Linked DNA regions of Elephas maximus indicus. The protein of the gene in region 2 purifies or fractionates together with the protein of the main gene of each other region. This does not show direct contact. Links are inferred from orthologs where the notes say so. Each region holds a gene or a part of one and is shown on either strand. Other genes may lie near its edges.

Region 1 (7,634 bases), on a different chromosome or scaffold from region 2:
GCAGACTGCCACACCTTTCTCCCACGGAGCGGCTGGTGGCTTTGAACCACTGACCTTTAGGTTAGCAGCTGAGTGCTTAACCTCTGAGCCACAAGGGTTCCTTATGTAACCTATGTGTTTTTATTTTTTGAAAGCTTCATTGACGTATAATTTACATACAGTAAAATTCACCCATTGTAAGTGTACAATTCAATGATTCTTAGTAAATTTACAGAGTTGTGCCGCCATCACCACAATCCAGTTTTAGAACATTTCTGTCAACCCAAAGTGACCCCCGTGTGGTCAATCCTCACTCCCCCACCCAGCCAGACAACCACTAATCTACTTTCTGAGACATTTCATAGAAATGGATGCATAGACTATGTGGTCTTTCACCTCTGGTGGCTTTCACTTAGCATGATTTTCAGAATAATTTTTTTTTTCAGATCCATTCATGTTTTGGCTGTACTTTATTCCCTTTTATCGCTGAATACTGTTTCATTGTATATGCCACAGTTTATCTATTCATCAGTTGATGGACATTTGGATTATTTCCACTTTTTGGCTATTATCAGATGTGGTTTTACTTACAAAATATTTCAAATGTAGAAAAATATATAATAGCAAACATGTAGTGCTTAGGAGTCGCTGGGTGGCGCAAACAGTTAAGCGCTTGACTATAACCAGAAGATTGGTGATTTAAACCAACACAGAGGTGCCTTGCAAGAAAGGCCTACAATCTGCTTCCAAAAGATAAAACCCCGTTGCCATCGAATCAATTCTGACTCACAGCAACCCTATAGGACAGACTGAAACTACCCCATAGGGTTTCCAAGGCTATAATCTTTACGGAAGCAAACTGCCCCATCTTTCTCCCTCAGAGAAGCTGGCATGTTCAAACCGCCAACCGTTCTGTTAGCAGCCAAGTGCTTGACCTTTGTGCCACCAGGGCTCCCTTCCAAACTGTAACAGCCTTGAAAGCTGCGGAGCATAGCTCTACTCTGCAACACATGGGGTCACCATGAGTTGGAATCAACTCTACAGCAAAGATTTTGGTTTGTTTTTTTTATATGGCCCTTTTTCTTTTACTATGTGCCAGACATTGCTCTGAGCGTGTTAGATACAGTGGTATACTTAGCAAGTTTGACACCCAGAGTAGATAATTTTTACACCTCCTATATCGACTCAAGGGCACTGGGTTTTTTTTTGGGTATGTTAAAGTACATGACAAAATTACTTTTAGCAATGATCCTGAAATGAAAGAAGTAATCGTAATGGCCAGAAAATAACCAATGAAAACATATTTTATCTGAATTTCATCTAAATAATGACAGTAAAAATTTAATAAATATTACAGTATAAAAAGGTAATGGCTTAAAACTTAAAAATTTTTTTCAACAAAAAACAAACCTGTATTTTATTCATTGGTCTGGCACAGAAATAAATATTAGTTTCTATTTTTGTTCCTCAAATTCTGCAACCTTGTCGATCATTTTGTCAAAACTGATTGTCTTGGCATATTCGTACTCAATGAGCGGTAAAAAAAAGTCATCAATCACTGTAGCACAAGCTCATAGGTTATTAAAAAAACACTTATTAATTTTACTTTCAAAGCACCAGATATGCAAAGTTATGAAAAGTCGTAAACATAAGGATAAATTTGTGGAGATTAATAAAAGCCCCATTTCACAATAAATTCCAAAGAGCCACAGGTCATATTTTTTTGGTAAGAAGTGGAGAATATTCCTACTCTGTTTAGCTCAAACATCTAACCTGCCTCGTTCAATTTTCTCCCTGGCCCTCATACGCATCTGAAGTGGCGATCTAATATATTTTGCCACTGTGTAATTAGGTGTTTTGGAAACAGCCATTTAAATATCTGGCACAAAATTTAAGCAGGCGGCCTCAGTTTCTCCACCTGTAAAAAGATAACAATTTCAACCTTACAGACTGATTTGTGAGCAACCCATTCAATGCAATAACTGGTGTAAAACTTTTGTAAAATGTCAACTGTGTTAGACAAATGCTGGCTATTATGAGTACCAGCTCATTTTTGGACGCGCCTTCTTCATTCACTGTGAGCTAGCGAGTCATTTCACAGGGTAAAACTGCCCTTTCGCACGGAAGGCAGCTATCCAGGAGGGGATGTCTGACTCCCCAAGAACGCACGAAACACCTGCCAGGAGGGGGTGTGGCGCCTTCAGTCTAGTGCGCAAGCGCAACAGGAAGAGCAGTTAGGACTGCCCCTGGCGCCTGCTTAAAATATTTAACTCCAGCTTAAAAAAAAAAAAAAAAAAAAATTTTTAATTTTTTTTATTGAGGATTTATTTTAGGTGGACTCGTGGGGTGACACCAAGGACGTCATACCTGAAGAATGCAAAAGATCATTAAAAAGACAGAAAAGAAAGGCCAAAACGGATGTCAGAAAGGACTCTGAAACTTGCTCTTGAAGGTAAAGTAAGTCAAGCAAATGGAAAAAATGACATGAAAGAGCTGAACAGAAGATTTCAAAGAGCAGCTCAAGAAGACGAAGTATTATAATGAAATGTTCAAAGATCTTGAATTAGAAAACCAAAAGGAAAAAACATGCTCAACGTTTCTCAAGCTGAAAGAACTGAAGAAAAATTCAACCCTAGATTTGAAATACTGAAACACTATGGGCAAGATATTTAATGATGCAGGAAGCACCAAGAGAAGATGGAAGATGAAAGGAATACACAGAGTCACTGTACCAAAAAGGACTGGGCGACATTCAACCATTTAAGGAGGTAGTGTATGTTCAAGAACCGATGGTATTAAAAGAAGTTTGAGCTGCACTGAAGTCATTGGTGAAAAACAAGGCTCCAGGAATTAACAGAATACCAGTTGCAATATTTCAACAAACAAATGCAGGGATGCAATCCTGGAAGCACTCACTTGTCTATGTCAAGAAATTTGGTAGATAACTACCTGGCCGACTGACTGGAAGAGATCCATATCTGTGCCGATTCCAAAGAAAGGTGATCCAATAGGAAGTGGAAATTATCAATGTCATTAATATCACATGTAAATAAAATTTTGCTGAAGATAATTAAAAACCGGTTGCAACAGCACATCAACAGGGAACTGCCAGAAATTCAAGCTGGACTCAAAAGAGGATGTGGAATGAGGGATATCATTGCTGATGTCAGATGGATCTTTGCTAAAAGCGGAGTATACCAAAAAGATGTTTACCTTGTTTTATTGACTATGCAAAGGCATTTGATGGTGTGGATCATAACAAGTTATGGATAACATTGCAAAGAGTGGGAATTCCAGAACACTTCTTTGTGCTCATGGGGAAACTGTACATAGACCAAGAGGCAGTCATTCAAACAGAACACAGGGATACTCCCTGGTTTAAAATCAGGAAGGGTGTGCATCAGAGTTGTATCCTTTCACCGCACTTATTGAATCTGTATGTACTGAGCAAATAATCCGAGAAGCTGGACCGTATGAAGAAGAACTGGGCATTGGGATTGGAGGAAGACTCATCAACAGTCTATGACATGCAGATGGCACAACCTTGCTTGCAGAAGGCAAAGAGGACTTGAAGCACTTACTGATGAAGATCAAAGACCACAGCCTTTAGTATGGATTACACCCCAACATAAAGAAAACAAAAATTCTCACTACTGGACCTATAGGCAATATCATGATAAATGGAGATAACCCTGAAGTTGTCAAGTATTTCATTTTACTTGGATCCACAATCAACACCCATGGAAGCAGCAGTCAAGAAATCATATGACATATTGCATTGGACAAATCCACTGCAAAAGACCTCTTTAAAGTGTTAAAAAGCAAAGATGTCACTTTGAGGACTAAGGTGTGCTTGACTCAAGCCACAGTATTTTCAATCACCTCATATGCATGCTAAGCCTGGGCAATGAATAAGTCAGACCAAAGAATTGATGCCCTTGATTTACGATTTTGGAGAATATTAAATGTACCATGAACTACTAGAATGAACAAATCTTTCTCGGGAGAAGTACAACCCGAACGCTCCTGAGAAGGAAGGATGGTGAGACTTGGCTTTACGTACTTCGGACATATCGTCAGGAAGGATATCATGCTTGGTGGAGGGTCAGCGAAAGAGAGGAAGACCCTCAAGATGGATCGACACAGTGGCTGCAAGAATAGGCTCAGGCATAGCAAGGATTGTGAGGATGGTGCAGGACCTGGCAGTGTTTTGTTCAGTTGTACACAGGGTCGCTATGAGTCAGAAGGGGCTGGATGGCACCTAACGACGACGACGTTGAAAATTTTTCAGCGCCCTACTGTATTTTTTCTACTTTTTCAAATTTGATTTTATTTATAATAAATGTGTATACATTAGTAATTAATTTTTGAGGTACACATTCCTCTCAGACTCATCTCACTTCAATTGAGCAATTATTCTTACTGAAAGGTGTTCGGTCCCTAGCCTAGCCCAATGTAAGCCCTCAATAAAGTTTGCGGATTAGGAATGATAACATAATTTTTCCTTACGGGGCGGAGGGGGGATTGCAAATCAAGCGCCCCAGTACGTCACAGGAGGCGCGGGGCGGCCAGGACCTGACTTTTTAAGCAGGCACTACGGAAGTCGCCTATTTTCTTGGAGGCGGTGCCTCACGTGGACCCGATGGACCCCGGCGGGGCCGCCATTTTGGAGGCCTCTCTAGGGCGCCTGTACCGGCCTTCGGTGCCGCTGCCTGCGGCTTCGTCGGGTAGAATGAACGTGATAGACCACGTGCGGGATATGGCGGCCGCGGGGCTGCACTCCAACGTGCGGCTCCTCAGCAGCTTGTTACTGACGATGAGTAACAATAACCCGTGAGTCGAGGCGGGGAGCGGCTGGGCTGAGACAAAGCGGCGCCGGTTTGGGAGCGGGGTGGAGCGGCCGCGGGCCCCAGGTGAGGCTCAGGTGTCAGCGAGGCCTCGTCGGCGGATCCGACGTGGGAGCGCACGGCGAGTTCGCTGGGATGAGCTCCCCGCGGAGGACTGCACGGCGGGAGGTTCCCAGGATTGCCCTGAAGGGGGTCCCCCGAAAGGATTGCCCTGGAGAGGGTCCCCCGAAAGTTGGGAGCGACCGGTTTGCTGAGGCACCTGGCGCCGAGCAGAGCGGCTGTCAGGCGTCGCTGGGCTGAATCCTGCCCTCCCGGCTCCTTCCGGAAGAACGTTTTCCCGCTCTCGGCAGCTCCAGGGGGCCCAGCCCCCTGCCTTTTATTCCTTTTTCCCACCCTTGGGATTGCCTTTCTCCTTTGAATGTCTCGCCTAGACAAGCCCCTGAAAACGGGCGGCTCCCTCGATGATCAGGTGGGAGTGGCGCCTCTTTATGTCAGGTCCCAGGACTCCCAGGAGATGCAGAGCGTGCCCCTTTCATATTCTCACAGCTGCCACTTACTGAGTCTTAGGATGGATGAAGCACCGGCCTCATTCCAGCTGTGATCGCATTGTCATTCCCCTGCTTAAAATCCTCCATTGTGCTCAACATAGCCTGCAAGGCCCAACCCGGCTTCATCTCCTTTGCTCTGCTCACTGCCTTCCAGCCCCCTCGACAGTTCTTTCTGTGACTTAAACGCATCAGGCTTGTTCTCACCTCTGGGCCTTTACACTGCTCTTCCTGCTGCTTCATTCAGTTTTCAGCTCAGATATCCCTCCTGGAGAGCCCTTCTCTGACCACTAGAATTGTCCCTTTTCCCTACTCTTCTAGCCGATTGCTCTGTTTTATTTTCTGCATCACTCTTGTCACTGATGAAGTTCTGTTATTTCATCTACATCTACCTCCCCTGCCAGACCGTAGGCATCATGAGGGCAGGAGCCCTATTAATTGCCTTCCCTGCTGTATCTTTAGCACTTAACCTGGTGTGCAGTAAGCACTCATGTGTTTATTAAGTGTGATAAGCAAGTGGGTACGATCTCTGGTGAAATACCTTGTCCAACTTCACACATTTAGTAGGTGGAGGATCCGGGATGGGACCTTGGTCCTCTCTGCCTCCGTGCTGACCCACCACAGCCTAAATGGCATTGTGGTTGAATTTCCTACTTAGCATGGACCCAGTGTGGTTGGTCTGCTCTAGAAGCAGTCTACGTCAGAAGGGAAAGGCCTTAAGTGCCTGTAGTGCAGCCACTGCTTCCCATTTCATTTCCATGAACGTGCTTTGGACTTCACTCTGTGAGACCCATCATTTTGCCACCATCCACTTAATGCTGACAGCAAGGAGCCCTGGCTTCTGTCAGCCTTCTGTGTTTATTCTGGAGCCTTTCACTTGCTCCAGAGTGATTTGCCAAAGCATATGGTTTCCACACTTGGGATTTATGCACCAGTTAGTCATTACTCATTGTTTCTTTTTCTTTTCTTTTTTTTTTAATTTATTTATTGGGCTTTAGGTGAAAGTTTACAAATCAAGTCAGTCTCTCATACAAAGAGCCGTACACACCCTGCCGTGTACTCCCAGCTGCACTCCCCTTAACGATACAGCACACTCCTCTTCTCCATCCTGTATTCCCCGTATCCATTCAACCAGCTCCTGTCCCCCTCTTCCTTCTCATCTCACCATCAGGCAGGAATCGCCCACATGGTCTCATGTGAGTCTAGGCCAATCCTTGTCTGTAGAGTTGGTTTCAGGAATGGTTCCAGTCTTGGGCTATCAAAGGGTCCGGGGTACTCATTGTTTCTTGAAGAAGTTATAGGATAGTCTGATCCTCGGGCTGCTCTTTAGTTAGCCTAGGCTTCTTCATATGAAGTTCGACTGGCAGCTTCCTAGCTTCTGCCTCTAGAGGAGAATATCAATAAAGAAGAGCAGACACAACATGTATCTATATATTTAAGTTCTAACCTTTATATTTTAAAATTTCTTACTGAATAGACAGTTACATGCTAATAGTTTAAAAAAAGTACAGAAAGGGTTGTTGTTAGTTGTCTCAGTAACAGAATGAAACTATTGCCCCGTGCTCTGTCATCTTATATGCAGATAGTGTCTGTCCCTAGCTCCTGAGCACCACACCACCATTCCCTTCTCCAGAGGCCACAGTTGTTAACAGTTTTTCATGTATCATTCCTGAGAGAACCTCACCTCTGCCCACATAAATAGGCGTGTATGTTACATTATATAAATACCTGAATGTGTTCTGTGTATATGATGATACTTTGTTCTTTATCCAAGCATCAGATACATACTTCTCACTAAATACATAGAATCTCAGAGTTGGAAGAAATCTGAAGTCATCTGCACTGTACCTTACAGTTCTTGAATTTCCTTTGTAACTTGATCTAGTGTTTAGCCTATCCTTTTTTTTTTATTATTATTTTTTATAAGGAGATAGAATTCACATAAGATAAAATTCAACCTCTAAACTGTCGAATTATATGGTTTTTAGTATATTCATAAGGTGTGTAACCATCACCACTACCTTAATTCCGGAACATTTGATCACCCTGCACAAAAAGAAATCCACACCCATTAGCAGTTACTCTCCATCTACCCTTCCCCAGCCCCTGGCAACCACTGCATATTTACTTTCTGTCCCTATTGTACCTGTTCTTGAATACACCTCCATTTGTTGAGAAACTCACTGTCTACAGAGTTCTTTCACTCACTCTGTTCTTTAATTTTAAGCAGCTATAGTTTCTACCTGTCAAAGAAAACCATGTT
Region 2 (7,559 bases):
CTAACTGGAAGAGAGTGAGTTTTATATTCAGACTTCCCCTCCCTGAGATTTTGGTATTCCCCAATGGGACATATGAAAATGGAGTAAGGTGACAGGGGTTATGATTTTCTGACACACTTATTTTACATTTCCCTACTTAAGAACTACTGCTCTACCTACTGACATGATATTTCTTCTCTCCTCTAAAAACATGTAGGTCTTTTTCATCAGGGGCTATTTCTAAACCTCTCCCAACTCATCCCCAAATAACATGAGATCCAGTCAGTACAAACTAAGTAAAAAGAGATTTTAAATGGTGCACAATCACAGTAAAGAGCTTGATTCTCATCATAAAATCACAGTGAGTTACATATGACAAAATAAGTAGCCATGACACTGATACAATAAAGTCATTATCTTAGCCTTGATGGAAATGGCCAAGTTTTAACCACCACCCTAGAAGTAACATTATACTCATTTCTCAGTTGCAATTTAAGGGGAGCCTTAAATTACAATTATATTACATCACTCTACAAAAATATGATGGGAAAATTAATGGAACCTTCTGTTTCTCGTGGATTGTGACCTCCTGAAGGGATCCCACCAAGCCAGCAGCACCATCAGAGGACCATAGCTCAGAGGCTGGCTGCAGCTGGCGAAGCTGAAGGTTCAAAGCATTGGGATGGTGCTTGCAGTGGTCTCGACCAAAAGGGACAAATTCCTGCAAATCCCTGGCTGCAATCATCGTTGCCCTTTCTTCATAGACGTTCGACATGGGTTCCAAATATCAACATTATTTCTGTAGGAATTCAAACACATTCTGGTGAGCTTCTAGAGTCAAAATCAGACTAAAAATACCATAAGAGTTTACAGTCATCAATCTTTTGATGAGTATCAAATAATTCCATTTTGTTGTCGGTATATAAGTAATCCTGACATCAAAGGGCATTCCAGATCTGACTCTCACAGGTAGATGTCACGTTAGTCACACACTAGCTGAAAAATAAACCTACCACTGTAGGAAACCATTGAGTCAAGACAAGCACTCATGTCCCACAGCTACCCCATAACGTTTCTATACTTCACACAGAAGGTATGAAAACACATTGTACTTTATGGTCCCACGACTGCATGGCTTCTCAACATTCAAGGTCATTTCTGCTCAGATACTGGAGTCTAATTCAAAAAGCACACCTAAAGGCTTGATGGCATTTGGAATGAGATAAAACATATTACTCTAATTCATCAGAGGTTGAACTACTGCTTTCAGTTAACCAATCCACAAAAGATCTAATAAGCTATCAAAATGTCATCAGTAGTTTTGACACCCCAATTCCACCTAAATCTATAACTACACCCCACTTACTGGTCCAAACCCAGGGAACCAAGGCATACGTAACTCTACCCATGAAACAGAAGGCTTATATCTGACTTAACAGCAGATTTAAGAGTCCTAGCTTTTAATTAGCAAAATTTATTGCAGTTTATTAGATTTACTGGCAGATTTGAATGAGCTGTGGGTCAAGACGTGCCCCTCTACCTCCCAAATATTTCTACATAAGTAACTGACAACTGGTAAAATTCTGACACTGCATAACATGGCATACGAGGTGGATTTCGGTTCTGTCTGCAACAGGACTGCCTTAAAAATGGATCTCATGGCATCATATTTAGGCTGCAATCCTCAAACACAAACGTCAAGGCAAACATCCAATGTCAGCACCGTAGACAACTTTTAGAAAGCACATTTTAAAACAGTGCTCACAAGTAAGAGGATTTCATTAGATTTGGCTGAGACTTCTCATCTCAGGTCTTTTTGGCATCAGTTGTTTGTTTTCTGTGCTGCACAAACACCTCAAAGCCTGTGCAGTTCCTTTAGAGTGGTTAAGTTACTCCACTGTGAATTAAAAGGTAGTCCTGAGATTACTGTACAGTGCAAAACACAACCCAAGTTCGTTTCTTCTCTACTGCTAGAAATCAGTACTGAGAACAAAGTCACTTCAACTTTGGACATAACTAAAATAACGCTTTATAAAACTTACAATAACAAAATTCAGCTGGTCTTCCTATACCCTGTTCCAAAGGATAACCGATATAAAAGAACTTGTGACTTTATCCAAGTTCGTGTAATTTTGTAACGTTATTCTCTTTTCACTGCAGGGAAAACTCTAGAATTACTTTCCCAGTACATTACTTTCGTTCTGAGATTATGAACACAAATTTAATACTTTCACAGTACCCCGAACTTTTATAAATGTGTTTTTACTTGACTTAGTGGCAACACAAAAAGCTATACAGAAACGTACTATGTTAAATTAATATGACAAAAATCAAAATTTTTCCTACATGAGATTAAAAGATCATCCTGAAAAGGGAGCAGAGGGCTGGCCTAACAATGAGTTTGTGACCAATTTCTCCCCCTAAAAGTCTAACAGAACCTAACGTAAGACTGAACGGTGTGCACACAACGATCCCTGGCTTGAGTCTCAGCAAAAAGACAAAGCTTCTCGGCCCCTCTGGCAGGCGACTAAGGCAGCGGGCTAAGAACCCAGGCCTCAGAGAATCCGCTCAGAGGGATTGGGCTTCATCGAGAGACTGGTTAGCGAGGAGGAGACCGGGAAGGCGCACCCAAAAAGTACAGCCCTCAAGGCCGTCGGAGCCCACCACCCGCCTCCCAGCCCTCTGGTCAGCAGGCACCGGCCGGCATCGGGGCGGGGATGAGGGTCCCGGGGCGCGCGGCGGGAGGTGGACCGCTGGGCTCCGCAGCCCCGCACCCGCACCTGTGTGACTCGGGACGCGTCAGGCGCGGCGAGCCTCGGCTGCTCCCCGGAGGCGCGGGGGCCGGAGGGGCCTGAGGACAGCGGCGGGGTCGGTCACGGTGACTCCTCAGCCTTCGTTGATTCTCATCCCTCTCTCTCCCCTACTCCGGAGGCAAAAGGGGCTGCAGTACCAGGCGCGACAGCTAACAGCAGGCTGACGTGCCGGCGAGCAGCTCCGGAAGCTGTTTAAATTGACACGACCATCTTGACTTTCCCGTCTTCCCTCGCGCCGGGGCGGTTCGGGCACCGCGGGAGGCGCGCGGCGCCCGGCGGCCTTGGCGCCTGCGCAGTTGCCTGAAGAACACGAAGACCTTACCTCCAACCGCCTTAAGAGGCAGCACTGAGTCCCGAAGCGGGAGCGACTCCAAGAATCTACGTGTGATGGCACCCTCCTGACGCAGATCTTCTCTAGATCATGTCACTACGAGCTTGAACTGCCACCTGACTCTGAGTTATGAGATTTTCTGGCTGCTTTTGCTTCTGCCTCCTTGGCCCCAAATGGAGGTACGTGCCTCCAGGCTCTGGGGCCCTGCTCATCTTCGTTCTACGTGAGTGAATCTGCACCACAAGGCATCCAGACTCCTTGAAAAGTTGGTGAAAGGTATGAAGGCTCTAACAAAAAACGTGCAATTTCAGAGGTTCACAGGTGATTCAGAGACCCAGGTTAAGAACTCCAGCCTTACCCCCCCTCCCTGTCTGGGTTCAACTGTACAATATCACATTTATGGAAACCAGAAACTTTCTTGAGCTCTAATCCCAATTAGGAGCCAGGGTGGCACGAGCGGTTTGCAATGCGTTGCTAACCTAAGGTTGGTGGTTGGAACCATGGAAGCGCCATGAAAGAAAGGCCTGAGGATCTCCTTCTGTAAAGATTACAGACAAGAAAACCCTGTGGAGGAGTTCTACTCTGTAATGCATAGAGTTCCCATGAGTCAGTCTGACTTTACAGCAGCTAACAACAACAATCCCGTATTGCCAAGTTAAAACTATTGACAGGCCTCTTAGTGCTTAGGAATAAACTTCAAATGCTTACCCAGAAATGTAAAGTTGGCTAAAACTTTATGACTTCGCTAAAAGCATCTACTGGGATTCCCCAAACACACCTTGCACTTCATGGCCTTACTCTCTGTATTCATTGCCATGCCTTACTTAGCATGTCACCCTTCAGGGTTCAGCTCAAGTGTCTCTTCTCAGGAGGCTTCACACCAACAGGAAGGAGCCTTTCGTTTCTCAGAACTTTGGGCACAACTGCCTTTCACCAGTCATTTACCTGAAATCAAAATACCACCAGACTTTCCTGGCTCGACGATAAAATGAGGTCAAGTTAACAATCATATCCCAAATGCCCTCTCTTATCCTTTATGTATTTCCCCCCACAGGGTCCCTACCTTCCTTCTCCACCAGGTCTTTCTGGTAGAACCTGCACCAGGACACACCTCAGATGCATCTCAGAGTCTCTTATTGCCACCATCCTCCAGATCCTCAGCCTCTTGTCCACCTCAGCTGCCACCATGGCCTGCCCCAAAGGCCACCCATGGTTGCACTAGTCCTGTCAGCCCCACTACCAGGCACTCGCCACAGAGGACAAAGCCCTCTCCGTTGGCTGCTGCTGTGAAGCCAGGACAATGCGTGGCACTCCCTAAAACTCAACTATGGCTTCTCCTGCCTCCCCCACAGGGAATGGCAGCTGCCTTATGAAAGGGCCAGAAGACATAACCTAAAGTATAGGGAGTAATTTGTGATCAAGGCAAATGTCCATCAATAGGAACAAGCAGGAAGGAGCCAGATGTATAAAATCCCTTTTCTTCCTCCCTCCTGTGAACTACTCTAAGGCCTGGTTTTTCTGCATACCTGTCAGGACATGTCCTGTGCGGCAGAGTGGCGCACCTGCCAGGCAGTCTGCTGAGGCTTTGGCGTCCCATGAAGCAGAATCCAGTGCATTACTTCTCAAGCTCCCCTGCCTCATTTTCCCATTTCATTCATTCTCTTCGGTCTAGAGATTGAACCACCCACATGAAGCATCAGCACTAATCATTCTTGCCTCTGGCTCCCTTTTCTAAGGAATTCAGGCAGTACAGTCCACAAAGAGTGTTTTTATACTGCTAATTATCCAGCTGTGAAGTAGAGTCACTGAAAGGATTTACCCAGCTTTTTCCCTTGCCTGTTCAAGTTATCTTGCCTGCTCAAGAAATTTTCTTAAGGGGCCTCCCTGAGGCCTTACCTGATGATGTCCACTGTGAGGACACCAGGGTCTACACCGATAGCTCCCCTCCAGTACTCCCAGAGACCACCAGTCAGTCCTTTGGGGCTAGAACATTGCTGTGTTCCCTGCAGAACAGCAGAACTGGCCCCACTGCTCCTTGCAACACTCATGGTCAGACATCGGTCTAACAGCGTTGTCACTAACAGCATTACTTGGACTCATGATCTGACAGTTTCTTAAGTAAGCAAATCCTTCTGCTTCTGCCACTAACCCCTCTGCTCATGGGGCTCGAACCATAAATCCAGGAGTTTCCTAGGCCAGACAGCCAACTCACTGCACTTTAACTGTGGCTTCCAAATAAACTACCTTAAAAATCCATTGCCATCAAGTTGATTCCAATTCATAATGACCCTAATGCACAGAGTGGAACTGCCTCATAGGGTTTCTAAGGCTACAGCCTTTACAGAAGCAGATTGCCACATATTTCTTCAGTGGAGCAGCTGGTGAGTTCAAACAGCTGACCTTTTGGTTGGCAGCTGAGTTCTTTAACCACTGCACTACCAGGCCTCCTCAAATTACCTTAAGAGTTCCTGAAATTACATTTTGGATACAAAGGACCCAAAAGTCAGGGTACAAAGGAAAGGGAAAATAATAGAGTTCACTGCCAGTTCATTTATATGGTAAGTGGGTTAACAACCATATTTTATGAATATATTCAATTTTCTAGTATATGATTCACAAAACTTGAAGTCAACTGAAGCATACTGTCTTAGTCATCTAGTGCTGCTGTAACAGAAATATCACAAGTGGATGGCTTTAACAAAGAGAAGTTTATTCTCTCACAGTCCAGTAGGCCAGAAGTCTGAATTCAGGATGCCAACTCCAGGGGAAAGCTTTCTCTCTCTGTCGGCCCTGGAGGAAAGTCCTTGTGATGCATCAGTCTTCCCTTGGACTGGGAGCATCTCAGCACAGGAATGTCAGATCCAAAGGAAGCGGTCAGCTCCCGGGACTGCTGTCTTGGTGGCTTGAGGTCCCCAACTCTCTGCTTGCTTCCCTTTCTTTTTATCTCTTGAGAGATTAAAGGTGGTGCAGGCCACACCCCAGGGAAACTCCCTTGACTTTGGATCAGGGAGGTGACCTGAGTAAGGGTGGTGTTACAATCCCACCCTAATCCTCTCAACATAAAATTACAGTCCCAAAATGGAGGACAACCACACAATACTGGGAATCATGGCCTAACCAAATCGATACACACATTTTTGGGGGGACATAACTCAATCCATGACACATACTAAAAAACAGTTGTCACAGGTATACCCAGTATTATAAAATAGATCTCTTCTGTTGGTGTAAACACCCCCGATAATTAGCAAAACTCCACATATATAATTGCTATGCAAAAAAAACAATAAAATCCCTATTTCTAAATTTTAATCAATTTTTTGCAAAATATAAGACTGTATTATTATCATTTGCTGCATAATAATAGTAGCAGAAACTTTATGGCTTAAAACAACACACATTTTTTATGTCACCATTTCTGTGGGTCAGGAGTCCAAGCATGGCCTAGCTCAGTCCTCTGCTTAAAGTCTCAACAGATTGCACGCAATGAGTTGGCTGGGGTTTTGTGTCCTTTGAGGCTTACTCAGAATTCAGTTCCTTGTGGTTGTAAGACTGAGGGCCTCAAATTTTTGCTGTCAGCCAGAGGCCACCTCAGCTCCTAGAGGCCACTCACAGTTCCTTGCCATGTGGAGCTCCCCAACATGGCCGTTTATTTCTGAGGGTCTGCTAGCAAGATGTAAGTCACGGTCTTATATAATCTAATCACAGGAGTGACATTCCATCCCCTTGGAGGGTTAGAAGCAAGTTACACTTGAGGGAAGGAGATTACACAAGGAAGCAGGTACCATTGGGTACCATCTCAGAAGCTGCCTAGTATAGTCTCTAATATCTATCTGATAAGTAAGTTTAAGGCCTTAAACTACCCTTTTTAGCCAAGGGAGTGAAACGTGGGATGTGTGGAGCCCCTTTATACAAGGGCTTTTCCTCGCCTCTGAGCCCTCGCAGCTGTCTCCACTCAGACCTTCTGAAACAGATAAGGTTAACTGTGCTGGTGGAACAAACTAGCTTTTAAAAGATTACCATCCAAAATTTGGGTAAACAGGAACCCACCCTGTCAACATGAGATAAGATTGAGGCAGTAGTGAAGTACTATCTAGTCCCCTTCTCCTTTGCAGGCTCCACACGCACAGAGGAGCAGAGTGTGACTGCTCTTTGACCTTCCTTAGCTCTCCAAAGATGGCGATGTAGTGCCGAAGATCAAGTGTGCTTGTGCTATATCCCATAATAAGTGAGCCAAAGGCTGCCGAGAGGACTCCATCTTGAATATCAGCGGGTTCCATCTTAGATTCCAGATGCACACAACCTAATTAATATACACTGCCATTCTGAGAAGTACCCGCCTCTTGAAAGAAGCCCACTAAATATTCATTACTCTGTTGTCTCCACCGAACCCATACGAGTCCTAGTCTTGCTTCCCTTTTCGAGTCAGTGTTTTG
Region 3 (7,380 bases), on a different chromosome or scaffold from region 2:
AGGCGAGGAAGATTTTCAGCCAAGAACTGTGTGAATGGTAGAGCCATTTGCTAGGAGAATAGAAGGGGGTGGGGAACAGATGAGTTCAATTTACACATGTCAAGTTTGAGATGCCTTTGGGATACCTAGGCTTACTAACAGAGATTTGGGAGTCATCAGAATATACACAGCAAATGATGCCACATGAATGGATCTGATTGCCCAGGATGAGTATAGGGTGAAAGCAACGGACTACAGCATACAAACGTTGACAGGTGCCACTGAGCTGGTTCCAACTTACAGCAACCCTATGTACAACGGAACACACTGCTCGGCCCTGTGCCATCTTCACAATTGTTGCTAGTTTGAGCTCACTATTAAACAGGAAAAAAGAGGCCTAGAAGGCAAGTGAGAAGAGTTACCCAGGGACAGGAAGAAAATCAGGAAGATGTAGTCTTATGAAAATCAAGGACAGAGTGTTTCAAGAAGGGAGTGGCTGGCATAGTACTCGGACTATATCAGTAAAGATGGGTTGGTGACCTTGATAAAGAGCAATTTCAATGTAGTAGGGTAACTTGACAACAACAGAGCTCAATCAGTTTGCAGTGGGCTGAGGAGTAAATGAGCAGTTAGGAACTGAAGAGAGTAAATGTACATAACTCTTTGAAGAAGGTGAAGGGGAGAAAAGGCACAGCAGTTAGTGATGGATGTGGAGACAAGAGACAGTTTTCCTAACTGCATATGACTAGTATATCCATAAAACTTTTCAACCTTAAATTACAAGAAGAGCAATATCTTAGGAGAGTGCCCTTCATTAATATCTAAAAAAATTTATTGTGTTTTATGTAGGTGACAAGAAATATATTTGACGTCTAAATTTTCAAAGCTCAGCCACAAATGTCACCCAACTCTAAGCTGTGCGTGTGTGTGTGCGCTGCGGGGGGGAAGCAGGAGAGAAGCACGTTAGTACCTTCTTCACAGCTTATAAAAAAAATTACTAGTGGTGTAAAAATTGTTCTAAGATTCAAATTATGGGCTAAACTATATAAACGCAACTTAATATGTCAATACTATTGGAGACATTGTATTAGAGTTTCAGCTACGAAGACTGACAAATTTGGAACTAGAACCTTGTGATTAAAAAAAAAAGAAGAGTAAATATTTAGGAATTAGGAAGGGCACCTCTCTCTTCTTTCAGCAGGGCCCTCTCCAAAAAGTGTGATGGGTTCTCCCAAGGCTCTAAGGCAAGCCTTGACCTCTGAGTCATCTGTGGAAACATTGATTTGCCGGGCTCGCTTTCTTCTCTCAAACTCAGCCAATACTTCTGCCTGTCGCTCACTGATGTGTTCTTCAATTTCAAACACTTCTCCTATAAAAAGAACGGGCAACTTCAGTATAATCACCAGATCTTCAAATAGAAAGAGATAATTTCTAACAACTGTCGTCTACGTATGCCACTAGGGAAAGGCAACTGTCCAGTCTAGTACACGTTTTATAGATAGTTTACCATTTTTCAGTTTACTAAATTACGTCAAATACGTAAAACTAAATGACACAGCTTTAAAAGGCAGGAAAGTGGTTCAAGTCATTTTGGCAACCTTACACCTAATAAAAACACATAACTTAGATGGGATCAGAGGGTAAGGATACAAATCCCCGAAACTATGGCCCCTGAACACTCTGCTAACCCAGAACTGAAAACATTCCTGCAACCCACTTTTCAAACAAAAATTAGACAGGCTATAAAACAAAATAACACCCGTGAGACCAAAAGGGCAACTCTTGTTCAAGAGCATGACGAGAAGGCAGGAAGGGACAGGAACTGGATGAATGAACATACGGAACCCAGAGTGGAAAGGGGGAGTGTGCTGTCACATGGTGGGGATTGCAACCAATGTCACAAAACAGTATGTCTATAAATTTCTGAATGAGAAATTTACTTGAACTGTAAACTTGCACCTAAAGCACAATTAAAAAAAAAAATACATGCTGGTATATCTAAAAAAATAACAAAATGTGAATGACAAGAAAAAAAAAAAAAAGGAGTATAAAACATCTTTACCAAAGCCCTTCTATCCAAAAGATAAAATAGAAACACTATTTTAGTAATTGCCAAAGTTACTCTCTAACAGTCCCAGTATAGCATAGAAATACAACTAGTTAACTGAAACTAATTACTATGAAGATGAGCTTTCCATGATTATAAGGCTTTTTACAACCTAACAACAAGTTTTAAAACCCAAACCAAATATGAGCATTTTGATGAAAAATAAGAGGTACAATAGTGATGCAATTGTGTTTGAAAACAGCATAAAAGGTTAATGGGAGGCTTGACAAGAAACTTTCTGCAGAGGAGTCTTCATTTTATATTCTTCTGTACCATTTAAATTTCTTATGACAACCGTGCATACTTTTATTTTAAAAAATACAGCAAACTCCTCGGTACTGACATGGAACAATACCCGCAGCAGCATACAGAGTGAAAACACAGGTTACAAAACAATTTGTACATCATGGTTTCATTTATGGAAAAAAAATATGTATTTTTATAGCTATATTAAAATTCTCAGAAAGATACCCAGTTGCCATAGAGTCGATTCAGAATCATGGTGACCCCATGTATGTAGGAATAGGATTACACTCCACAGGGTTTTCAATGGCTGATTTTTTGGAAGCAGATTGCCAGGCCTTTTTTGAGTAGCCTCTGGATGGATACACACCTAATTAATAAGGATCACGGGATTTTCTACTTCGTACATCTCTACATTTTTGATTTAACAAAAATAAAAACAGCTATTACTTTTATACTTAAAAAACACAGGTTTCACTCTGGCTGAAAAATAATTGGAAAACTAAAAAAAGGGAGAACGTTATGAACCACAATAGCTCCAAACCAATGCCACAACTATCCTAGCTCTCTAGAAGACAAACACAATCAATCTGAGCCCAAATACCTAAACATCTGAGTAAATTCCTAACAATCCACGGAACAAAAAACTGTATAAAAGATCCTAAGAAACAGGCTCTCCAAATGATGCTAAGGGTGGTAGGCAAAGTATGGCCTTACAGGTGCAAGTTTAAGAATTGAAAACTTTAGAGACCACAAAACTAGTGATAATTATCTAGGAAGGTATTCACTATAGAAAATTTGAGCATCAAACGTAAAGAGAGACTCAAATTGCATCTCACCAGAGGTTATGTTAATATTTCCAGCTTCGATTCCTGCTTTAAGTCCTTCTTTCCCCAAAATTCCAGACTCTCCTTTGGCCAGACGTTCCCTCTCCTTCTCTTCCAAACTTCCATAATAGATGTGGGGTTTCTTCACAACAGGAGCAACTAAGTCATCAGGTGCCTTAGAGGTTTTGGTTCCCTGCTAAACCAAAGAACTGAATTAATTTAAGGCTTAATCTTAGCAATCTACTAGGCGTCCCCAAAGCTCATCCTGAGCTTCAATCCTATTTCCTCCCCGAATGAAAGGGCAAGTTGGACACCAGTTAAGATGTTCTTCCCTGATTTGAAGGGTGTTTCCATCCCTCCATCACTTAAGTTTTGCAGACAGGTAGCAGAAGGTCGATAAAACTAATGAATTTCTCTTGGTGATTTTTCTATCAACGTTTTACTTTGGAATCTGTTTACTTCATGTCGGTTGGAAGTGCAATCTCTTCTTGGGTTTTATGAACCTTCTAAGATTATTGCTTATCACGAGGGAAACAGCAAGGATTTGGTTGAAATCTTTTGAATGAAAGGCTGGTTATTTGAATGAAATAGCTAACCAGGTGCTAACGTAAATTCCTGGTCTATACATTTCAAACGACAACAGATACGGGGTTAGGAGGCCTCATTACAACTGACATAGACGTGAATCTTGACCAAGACATTTCCCTCCTTCAGGTCTCCGCTTTGGGACCAGTCGGAGGAAGTGTTTACCGTTCCAGGGCTGTAGCGAGAGAGACGAAAGAGACCAAAGCGTATGAAAACGCTCAGGTACCAGGATAGCGCTGCTCGGCTCCATAATGGAACAATGAGTACCGCAGTCTCTCTCCCTCCTCCTCCCTCCACCGCCTTATCCATTTCCTAGCGGCCCCATCCTGCAGTAATCACTCGGCGCTCCCTGCCACAGTAAGCAGAGATTCCGAGTTCTGTACCGTGGAAGGAGGTCGTGAGGCGGCCATGCCGGGCTCTGGAGCCGCAAACTCCAGCGAAAACCGAGCGGTACGTTCAGACCGTCCACCGCGCGCCCAGCAAAGCGGAACTACGTCATCGACCGGAACTGGGCCTAGAACCGGCGCAGCGACTGGGGTAGCGCGGAGCTTGATGGGAATCGTAGTAGGGTAGATTCTCGTCACGTCTGGAGGCGTGACCTGTGCAGCTTCCGAGTAAACCACGCGGGAGACAAGAGTCTGCAGAGAGAGTCTCAGAGAAGTCTGGGAAGTGTAGTCCACTCGTTTTAGCGGTAGATTGGTGATGGGCGCTAAGGTTCCGGGAAGGGGCTGAGCTGAGCAGGCTTGAAAGGAGGTATGTGTATGCAGTGGCGCGACTCCGGGCTGAACCTTGGAGCTAATTGATGACTTCCGGGGCCTGCAGTCCCTCCTGGGCCTACGGGAGACTTTATGTTGTCCTGGAGCGGGGGACCTTGTTGCCGTGGAAACCATCGCCCTGAACCCCTGAGTGCTTCCCTGGCTCTGGAGGAGGGTTGTTGCCTGCTGTCCGGAAGCCCTCCTAAGGACTCCCTCTGAGTTGTGAATTTCTGGAGGATTTGGGCAGCGGCTGGAGATTAAGCTCGAAGAGCCCGTTAGCGCCAAAATAAAATACTGGGCGGAGGAGCCATGGCCTGATTTGGTTGTTAGCTCTCCACCGGTCTTTCTTTCAGATTCAGAGTGAGGTGATGGATATGAAGGGGACAGGTAAGGTATACACAGGCAACTCTCGGCACAGCCCTGTGCCCTGCTGCGTGCTGGGGCATCAGAGATTATACAAAACAAGGTTTTTGCACTCACAGGGTGAATGAGGGAGCCTCAGAATACTGGTGTTAGCGGAGCTGGATGGAGGCGCCCCTCTACTGAGGAAAATTACGATAATAATGAAACCAAAAACCAGTTGCTGTGGAAACATACTGACATGTGGTGACCCCAAGTGTGTTACAGTAGAGCTGCGCTCCATAGGGTTTTCAGTGGCTGATTTTTCGGAAGTAGATCACCAGGCCTTTCTTCTGAGGCAGCTCTAGGCATACGCCAACCGCCAACCTTTCCTTTTGCCCTCTAGCGTTGGCGTTTCCTAAATGCCAAATTATGTGCCAGGAGGTTGATCTGCCTTATGTCATTCAGTCGTTACCACAGAGTACAGATACAGGGAAGGAAACTAAGGTCTAGTGAGAGCTGATACTAATTGTTCACCGTCAGTGGCAGAGTGGGAGCCCCAGCACTTTTAAACCATTCCTCTACACAACTTCCTAGTGTCCAGCTTTTCAGTCTGCAGAAAAGCTAAGAAAACTTATAGCACTTTTTTCTCTTAAGTATTTACCCTTCCTTCCGCCTCATGCTTTCTTTGGAAATTTGGCTTCTTCTACCACTTGTTTACATTGGAATCTGGTAGAAGAGTCTATCTGATTTAGTGCAAAGCAGTTTGAAATGTAATGTGCCAGAGTTTTATGTTGGTAATATCAGTCCCAAGCTTCATGGGAAGAGGAAACATACCTTTATTTGCATACTTCACAGTCCCTAGCTACAAATAAAAATTTATGTCTGCACATACTTATAAAGGGCATTCTTTTACACTATTCTCATTTAATCCTCATCCTGTGATGTATGTGTGATTATAGGAGGCCCACATTATTAGCCAAAATTGAACAGCTTGCTTCAACTTCTTTATCTGAAAAATGGGGATAATTTTGTCAGCTTCACAGGGTTTCTGTGAAGATTAAACTAAGAATGTAAAGAAAGGAGAGGAAAATCTTAGAACAGTACTCAAAAAAAGTTCATCTCACGTTCTCTATTAGATCTCTCATTTTATTCAACAAGTATTTACTGACTACTTGATAAAAATACATTCTACTGGATGCTGTGGAGAATGTAAAGATAATGCCATCAACAGATGTTAAACTCAGTTGTGGGAGTTTTGTTTTCTTCTCAAAAAATACTTGTTCTTTTTGTTAACACAAGTATTACCTTGGGTTCTTAGACTGTGTAGTACTCTCTTAAGCCTCTGCAAACTCCTATCTGCCTGGAATGCCTTTAGTCCCCTTTCTCTGCTTGTCCTTCAGAACTGAACTAAGACGTCCTCTTCACTAGGAAGCCCTCCTGACATTCCTGCCCACCCCACGTTCAACTGGGTTTAGGTGCCTCTGTGATGCCATTGTATTAGCCTCATCAGAGTTCTTGTTATTCTGTGTCGTAATTTTCTGTTTCCTTGACTGTTTCCCCACAGACTGTGTCCTTTAACTCTGTAGCTGAAACACAAGAAGCGTTCACTGAATAAATGACTTATCCATTCAGACTCTGAGGATAATCCTGTGAACTGGTGAGTTAGAGGGAGTTTTCATGAAATGTAGCAAACTTCAGTGTTCTGGAGTGATCAGAAATCTCTGACAATTCTCATGTCTAGTGGATTAAACTTAATGGCATGTCCACTCTCCCACTTCTTGTTCGGTGCCGTCGAGTCGTGTCCGACTCGTAGCGACCCTTTGTACAGCAAAACGAAACGCTGCCTGCTCCTCTGCCATCCTCACAATCGTTGCTATGCTTGAGCCCATTGTTGCAACCACTGTGGCAGTCCATCTTATTGAGGGTCTTACTCTCTGGCTGACCCTCTACTTTACCAAGCATGATGTCCTTCTCCAGGGACTGGCCCCTCATGATAGCATGTCCAAAGTACGTGAGGTGAAGTTTCACCATCCTCACTTCTAAGGAGCTTTCTGGCTGTACTTCTTCCAAGACAGATTTGTTCATTGTTCTGGCAGTCCAATATTCTTCACCAACACCATAATTCAAAGGCACCCATTTTTCTTTGGTCTTCCTTATTCATAGTCCACCTTTTGCATGCATATAAGGAGGTTGAAAATACGATGGCTTGAGTCACGTGCACCTTAGTTCTCAAAGTAACATCTTCGCTTTTTAACACCTTAAAGTAAGAAAGAAAAGACCAAGGTGGATGTCAGAGGAGACTCTGATACTTGCTCTTGAGCATCGAGCAGCTAAAGCAAAAGGAAGAATTGATGAAGTAAAAGAACTGAACAGAAGATTTCAAAGGGCCTCTCGAGAAGACAAAGTAAAGTATTATAATGACATGTGCAAAGAGCTGGAGATGAAAAACCAAAAGGGGAGAACATGCTCAGCGTTTCTCAAGCTGAAAGAACTGAAGAAAAAATTCAAGCCTCGAGTTGCAATAGTTAAGAATTCCATGGGG
Region 4 (6,869 bases), on a different chromosome or scaffold from region 2:
GCTCTGGGGGAAAGTCTTTGTCATCAATATTTCCCCATCAAGGAGCTTTTCAAGTATTGGCACCCTGGGTCCAAAGGACGCGCCTTTCTCCTGGATCTTGATTGTTGGTGATAGGAGGTTCCCATGTCTCTCTACTCACTTCTATCTTTTATATCTCAAAAGAGATTGACTAAAGACACAACTTAATCTTGTAGATTGAGTCCTGCTTCATTAACATGGCTAGCACTAATCCTGCTTCATTAATACCATGGAGGTAGGATTTACAACACATAGCAAAATAACATCAGATGACAATACTGGGAATCATGGACTAGCCGAGTTGACACACATTTTGGGGGGACATGATTCTATCCATAACATTCTGCATTCTGAACTGATCAGAACAAATCTGGAGTATTTAATCGTTGTTATTGTTGTCGAGTCAATTCCAACTCATGGTGACCCCATATATCCAGAGTAGAACTGCTCCATAGAATGTTCAAGGCTGTGACCTTTCAGAAGCAGATCTCCTGGCCTGTCTTCTGAGGTGCCTCTGGGTGCATTTGAGCTGCCAACCTTTCAGCTAGTAGTTGAGTGCTTAATTGTTTGTGCCACCCAAAGATACCTTGTGTTTAGTTAAAACGGTCAAATTTTAAAAAGTAACATCTCTTATCCATCCCTTTCTTTCCATGCCCACTATCAGGAGATGTCATCTCAGATCTGGTGTGGTAGATTGTTTCCAAAGATAGCCCAGCAATCCCTCCCATCTCACAAGCCTTTGGCAGCAACACTTTGTCAATCCTTGAATCAAAAGGTGGAGTCTGTTCCTCTTCCTAATGAATACGGGCTGGCCCTCCGTCTTATTCTGACCAACAAAAAGTGATGGGGTTTGACTTAAAACCTAGGCCTTAAGGGGTCTTGCAGTTTCTGTTTTTGTCTTCTTGGTTGTCAGCCACTCAAGTCAAGAAGCTGGGGATAGACGACAGACCACGTGAGGAAAAAGGTCACCTGGAAGAGAACTGAGGGGTGCAGCCAACTGCTAGCACCAAGATCCCAGACAAGTGAAACCATCTTGGATCTTCCAGCCCCAGTCAAACACACCACATGGAGCCAGAATGAGCTGCCCCACAGAACTCTGCCTGAATCCCTCATTCACAGAATCATGAACAATAAAATGGCTACAGTTATAAGCCACTAAGTTTTGGGGTGAGTGTGTAGGGAAAGAAGATCAACAGGCAACTGAAACACCAGGATCACTAATATGAGCTCCTAATTATTATCCATCATCTATAGGATCCTTATGAGTTAGAATTGACTGGATGGGGTTTGGTTTATAAATTATTCTCCATGGCATAGCATGGTCCTTAAGTATGGAAGGTGAAGCCAGATTGCCTGAGTTTGAATCTATTTGTTTGACCTTGGGGAAATTATTTACCTTCATTTTCTTCATCTATAAAATGCAGCTAAAAACAGAACCTACCTCTGTTAAGTTGTTAAAAGAATTAATCCAAAGAGTTTGGAATAGTGCTGGGAACATGGTAAATGCTCATTAAATTTTAACTAGTATCATTAATTTTTTTTTTCCAGTGCTATCTGATAGAACTTTCTGCAACAATGGTAATGTTCTACATCTGTATTGTCCAATATTGCAGCCATTTATGTCTATAAGACCTTAGAATGTGGCTCAGGCCACTGAAGAACTAAGTTTCTAATTTAATTTTAATTAATTAAACTTTAAATAGCTGGTGACCACCATATTGGAAAGGAGCCCTGGTGGTGCAAAGGTTAAGCGTTCAGCTGCTAACTGAAAGGTTGGTGGTTTGAACTCACCCAACAGCTCTGTGAGAGAAAGACCTGGTGATCTGCTCCCAGAAAGATTATAGCCTAGGAAACCTTATGGGGCAGTTCTACTCGGTCATAATGGGTTGCTACGAGTCAGCGAACAATAACAATACCGTATTGGACAAAGTAGAAGTCTATTCCCATTCTAATTAATCTAACATGTTGCTGGGTGCTATCGAGTTGATTCCAATTTATAGCAATCCCATATGTTATGGAGTGAACTACCCCATTGGGCTTTCTTGGCTGTTATCTTTATGGGAGCAGATCACCAGGTCTTTCACTCACAGAACCATTAAGTCAGCAGCCGAGCACTTAACCATTTTCACTGCCAGGGCTTCTTTAGTTTAACATAATCTTGCTAAAAGAACAAGGCACAGGGCAGCAGAAAATCACCTTAGGACCTGTCTTTTACAAGACTACAAGTACATAAACAGTAACTAGACATGGTTAGAGAAAGATACAGCTCTATCAGCTGGTGGTTTTTGGTTTTTTAAAAAGACCTCCCTCCGACATCACCAAAAGGAAGGGGGCCCTGTCTTAGTTATCTAGTGCTGCTATAACAGAAATACCACAAATGGGTGGCTTTAACAAACAGAAACTTATTTTCTCACAGCTTGGGAGGCTAGATGTCCAAATTCAGGCTGCTGGCTTTGGCTCTAGGAGAAGGCATTCTCTCCCTGCCCATTCTGGAGGAAGGTCCCTGTCTCTTCTCTAAGATGATAGAGACTTCCCCAATAGCTCTCACTTCCTGTTGAGCCCTCACCGGAACTGCTTTTGACATCCGTAATTCTACCAACACTCTCTTCAAGGTAATCTAGGCTTTTACAATTAGGCACCTTAAAACTCTTCCAGCCTTCATCCATTACCCAATTACAAAACCACTTCCACATTTTAAGTAGCACCCCCACTTCTAACTTGATTTCATCTGCATAAAAATGTGAGAACCAGAAAGAGGATTTTCTGCAAAATGGAGTGCACCGTGAGTGCTACAACTAGCCTACAGATGCACTTAGACAATTAACCTTAAAAAATTTTTCATCTTCTGAAAAACAAAACAAAGTTTTAGTAGTTCCCTGACCCCCTCATTTTTCATTTGGCAGAAAGGAACTTTGAGAGAGCGTATGTGTACTAGACACAGCCACATATATTAACGTACATAATTCTTTTAGTCTTTCATTTTTTTCTCAGACCAAGCAAATAGAAGCTCAGAAAAGTTGTGACTTGCCTAAGGACCCAAAGCCAGTTAGTGCCAGAGATGAAATTCAAAACCAGAACTCTGGATTTTCAATCCCACGCTCTTTCCGATAGATGAGAATGCCTCTCCTATCACACCTTTTGAGATTCTCCATCATCTGGTCACCTAGGTAACTATTTCCAGTTAATGCCTTAACTCTTACCAGACTGGTAGCTCTTCCTCCCTTCACTTACACACGCTTTCTTTTCTTCTACTACTACCCATCCTTTCAAGTCCAGTTTAAATTTCCTTTCATGAAAACTTCATCTTCAGTCCCGATTAATTTCCCTCGCCTCTGAATTTTCACATCATTTCTAATGAGCACCACATAATGTAGTGCTCTTTGTTACACTGCTTTTCCCTTAAAAAAAGAAAAAAACCTTTTTTTTTTTTAAGTAGACTGTAATTTCCTTAAGGCCATACTCTTTCGGGAGGGCGATCCTTCCAAATTTCTGGCGATATTCCTCTGAGCTGGGACAGAGTGACTACTAAACTCAACACACAAATACTTCTTGGTTAATTAACGTCAGCTCCAAACTCTTAGGATTCTACTCTTTGCTTAAAATTACCGCGCGCCAACTAATGCAGAAAGAGTAGCGAATCGAAACTACAGCCCCACCAAGTAACGCGCCCCTTCAGTTCCGTCAAGCCTCGCCCACCCTGGTGGTTGCCGATTGGGTGTGGCCCGGCCTTCTGGTGGCCAATGGGGCGTGACGTGGGCGGGTGGGGGCGTGGCTGAGATGGCGAACCTTTGCTCTGGGTCCGTCTCGGTAAACTCCGGTAATCCTCGACAGTTTCCGGCAACGGTCTCCTCCGCCGCCACTTCTCCTCGGCTATTTCCGGTCCCTTTCGGGCCTTCCCGTCTAGCTCCCGCTCGTCGCTTTTCACTTCGGGTATTTCCGTGTCTCGCTCGGAGGGACTCGGCAATTGCTCGGCCTCCCCCATCCCCCGGTAACGGTCGCTGGTGAGTTTAAATGAGCCGGGGCTGGCCGGGCCGGAGCCGCTACGGGGGGGGGCCTGAGGCACAGCAGAAAGTGGGCTTGAGCCTCAAGGATGACGGTGCTGCAGGAACCCGTCCAGGTAATGATAACCCCTTCTTCGAAGCTCGGCTCGCAGCCTCGGCCAGGAAGCAGCGTATGGCCACTCCGCGGCCTGGTGCGGCCTAGGCCGGGCTGCTTCTCCCGCCTCCCCTGATGCCGGCTCCTGCCTGTCCCTTCGTCAGTGCGGCGGCCTTGCCCGCAACCTAAACCTTGACACCCCGGTCCTACAATACTTCTACCCTAACCTGAGCAGGGTGCGGCTACAATACCGCCTTTCCCCTCGGAGCCGACGTCTGGCCAGCCCCTCCTGTCAGTCTAGGGGCCTGGCCGAGCCGGGGGTGAGAGATGAGGGGCCGAAAACTCGCCCCAGGTGTTCTCCTGCCTGAAGGGCAGTTGAGAATCACCTTTGATCGGAGCTTGTGTGATCCTCATAATGGTGTGGGGCAAGTTTGCGGGGGTTGTTTTTGTTTTACATGAGAGGGTGGAAGGGGAGGGTAAGATCGGCATTTTTAATACTAATTTCTGTTTTGGTCACAGCCTTTCTAGTCCACGTTGCTTTTCTCATTGAGTGAATTTTCCACAGGACAATTCCAAGAAGAGAGCTCTTAAGGCCAGTGCTGAGGTGCAAGCACCTATCCAAAAGGAAGGGGGGGTAGAAACACCAAGTCCGGGAGGTTTTTTTACCCCCCCCACTACCTGTGATGAGGGTCAGGAGTATTTTATCGTGCACGTTTATAAACTGTTTGGGAAACGAAAGACTAGTAATGGCTTTTCCATTTCATTGTCTTCAACATAGCAAGGTATGCTTTGACACACAGTGCTCTGTTGGCATCAAAGAAAGCCTACTGGATTTTAAGTGTGGAATGCAGTGCCAAGTCATTTTCCTCCTTCCATCGAAGAAACTGAATCTTGTGTCCCTTGGTGATCGACCAGGTTTGGGGGACTTTCAACCCACCATATGATCTTTGACTTGATTGGAAGAGTTGACCTCTATCAACTGCTGTCATTGAGTAGTGGATTTTCTTTATTTTAGAGTTACAAAGTGAACTGGTTTTTAGAAGTTACTTCATATTGTCCCTAATAGGCCTGTGGTATCTAATAGTAAATACTTTAATACATCACTACTTCCATATTTCCTTAGTTTTTCTTCATGGCATGAAATACTCATTTCTCCTAGTTTGCCTTCTTCTCTAGCTCTTTACATATAGCAGCTATTAGTGTTCAAATTGATGTATTGTGGGATTCTATTGTAGGAAATTTACTTGTTTACAAGTTAGTTCTACCATTGCTTCGAAAGTTATTTCTTTCCATTCAAATTCCTCTTACTAATAAAGAATCCCTTTTAAGAGTTTTTTGGACCTAACAGGAGATTAGAAGTTGCTATCTGTACCTTCTTAAATAGCTAAACATATTACTTAAATTGCCTAATTTCTGTTTCATATGCTTGTGATTTTTATCTTCTTATCATTTGTTTTCTCTGACCCCAGAAACTTCTAAGTGGTAAAACAGTTTCATTAATGGCATAGAACTACTATTTAGTAATAATACCAACCTGTATAAAAGCATGGAAAAGAAAAGAAATAGGTAGCCTATTCCAAGATAGTGCCCATCAGGTTTTTCTGTTTTCTTAAAGTACTCTTAGCAGTATGCACTTAGATACTTTTAAGGATTAAAAGTCAAATTAAGCTCTTTTTCCCCCACTAGCTTTGTTCATTCTGGGATGGTGGTAATGAGTTTTAGAATATGACTAGGTGAGAATTTTGGGTGTTATTTATAGTATAAAAGGAAGCCACTCAAGAAGGCATCTTGAGCAGTGAGAGGACCAAGCAGCTTGAGCTGTGGTGATAAAGATCAAATTATGAAGGATAGCGCTGAAAATGGGAAAGAATTACTATGGAAGAGAATAAAAATAGGACTGATGGATATGATTTGTTTTTATAAATATTTTTTTAAAGTATAATGTGCATATATCTGGGAAGGAGTGGGAGTAAGTTGGAAAATTACTTTGTTTCCTTTATTGGGATGCCTCAGGGTTCATAGTATTACTCAGCAAAGGAAAAAATTGAGAGGAAAGATGAGCAAATATTTTCTACTTTTTTTTTCCTTTAAAGTTTTAGCTTGGAAGAGTCAGTCTGATATAGTATATGTGCCTAAATATGATGGAGTCACTCCTCTGCCAAATTACCTCTCATAGAAAATTATTATATTTGAGTTTTTATAAAAATCTCTCATATTATGAGGCAGAAGCTCTATCAGTTATTTTATTTTTAATAGTAACTGTTTGGGGGAAGACACATTACTCTAAATGACTTTAGTCAGTACTGGGCTGGCTGTTTATAAAAGTCACCCGATGAAATTGGTTTTTCATAAAAAGGCAAAGCCATATAGATTTAACAGTTATTCCTGGGGGAGCACTTCGTAGTTAGAAGTGTCGGATGAAGTTTAAACATGCCTCAGAAATCACCTTCATAAGGAGTGTAGTACATGGGTACTATATGTACAGTGTCAATGTGGAGATCACTAGATAGTGTAGGAGTACTTTTAGCTTGGGGTCAGATGTCCAGGGAAAGCATCTAACATGGATTCAAAGTACCATATTTCACGTAATTTAGAATTGAGGGTGGTATACTCTGGAAGATCATGTTAGATAACTAAAAAAAGTGGCTCTGATGATAATAGATACTGATGTCAAAGATGCATGTGAACAGTTTGAGTTAAATTGTTTTATGCAATAGGAGTAAAAAAAAATTTTCTGAATATATTTTATGTGAAAC

Evidence for each region.
Region 1: the proteins of ANAPC1 (region 2) and ANAPC7 fractionate together in Homo sapiens (co-fractionation; 6 studies listed by BioGRID and IntAct, with this or other methods). This does not show direct contact. The link is inferred for Elephas maximus indicus from reciprocal best matches to the Homo sapiens genes ANAPC1 and ANAPC7.
Region 3: the proteins of ANAPC1 (region 2) and CDC26 purify together in Homo sapiens (co-immunoprecipitation; 6 studies listed by BioGRID and IntAct, with this or other methods). This does not show direct contact. The link is inferred for Elephas maximus indicus from reciprocal best matches to the Homo sapiens genes ANAPC1 and CDC26.
Region 4: the proteins of ANAPC1 (region 2) and CDC27 purify together in Homo sapiens (affinity purification with mass spectrometry; 16 studies listed by BioGRID and IntAct, with this or other methods). This does not show direct contact. The link is inferred for Elephas maximus indicus from reciprocal best matches to the Homo sapiens genes ANAPC1 and CDC27.

The regions. Positions count from the first base shown.
Region 1 is NC_064840.1:9,000,899-9,008,532, reverse strand, and holds the start of ANAPC7 (anaphase-promoting complex subunit 7), read left to right. Parts: upstream 1-4,628; 5' UTR 4,629-4,711; coding exon 4,712-4,812; intron 4,813-7,634. UniProt on the Homo sapiens protein: Component of the anaphase promoting complex/cyclosome (APC/C), a cell cycle-regulated E3 ubiquitin ligase that controls progression through mitosis and the G1 phase of the cell cycle.
Region 2 is NC_064835.1:40,984,949-40,992,507, forward strand, and holds the start of ANAPC1 (anaphase-promoting complex subunit 1), read right to left. Parts: upstream 3,013-7,559; 5' UTR 2,760-3,012; intron 779-2,759; 5' UTR 755-778; coding exon 542-754; intron 1-541. UniProt on the Homo sapiens protein: Component of the anaphase promoting complex/cyclosome (APC/C), a cell cycle-regulated E3 ubiquitin ligase that controls progression through mitosis and the G1 phase of the cell cycle.
Region 3 is NC_064827.1:62,535,119-62,542,498, reverse strand, and holds the start of CDC26 (anaphase-promoting complex subunit CDC26), read left to right. Parts: upstream 1-4,364; 5' UTR 4,365-4,494; intron 4,495-6,402; 5' UTR 6,403-6,495; intron 6,496-7,380. Other genes in the region: PRPF4 (U4/U6 small nuclear ribonucleoprotein Prp4), read right to left, coding at 1,162-1,348, 3,169-3,352, 3,907-4,050. UniProt on the Homo sapiens protein: Component of the anaphase promoting complex/cyclosome (APC/C), a cell cycle-regulated E3 ubiquitin ligase that controls progression through mitosis and the G1 phase of the cell cycle.
Region 4 is NC_064837.1:53,067,075-53,073,943, reverse strand, and holds the start of CDC27 (cell division cycle protein 27 homolog), read left to right. Parts: upstream 1-3,862; 5' UTR 3,863-4,108; coding exon 4,109-4,135; intron 4,136-6,869. UniProt on the Homo sapiens protein: Component of the anaphase promoting complex/cyclosome (APC/C), a cell cycle-regulated E3 ubiquitin ligase that controls progression through mitosis and the G1 phase of the cell cycle.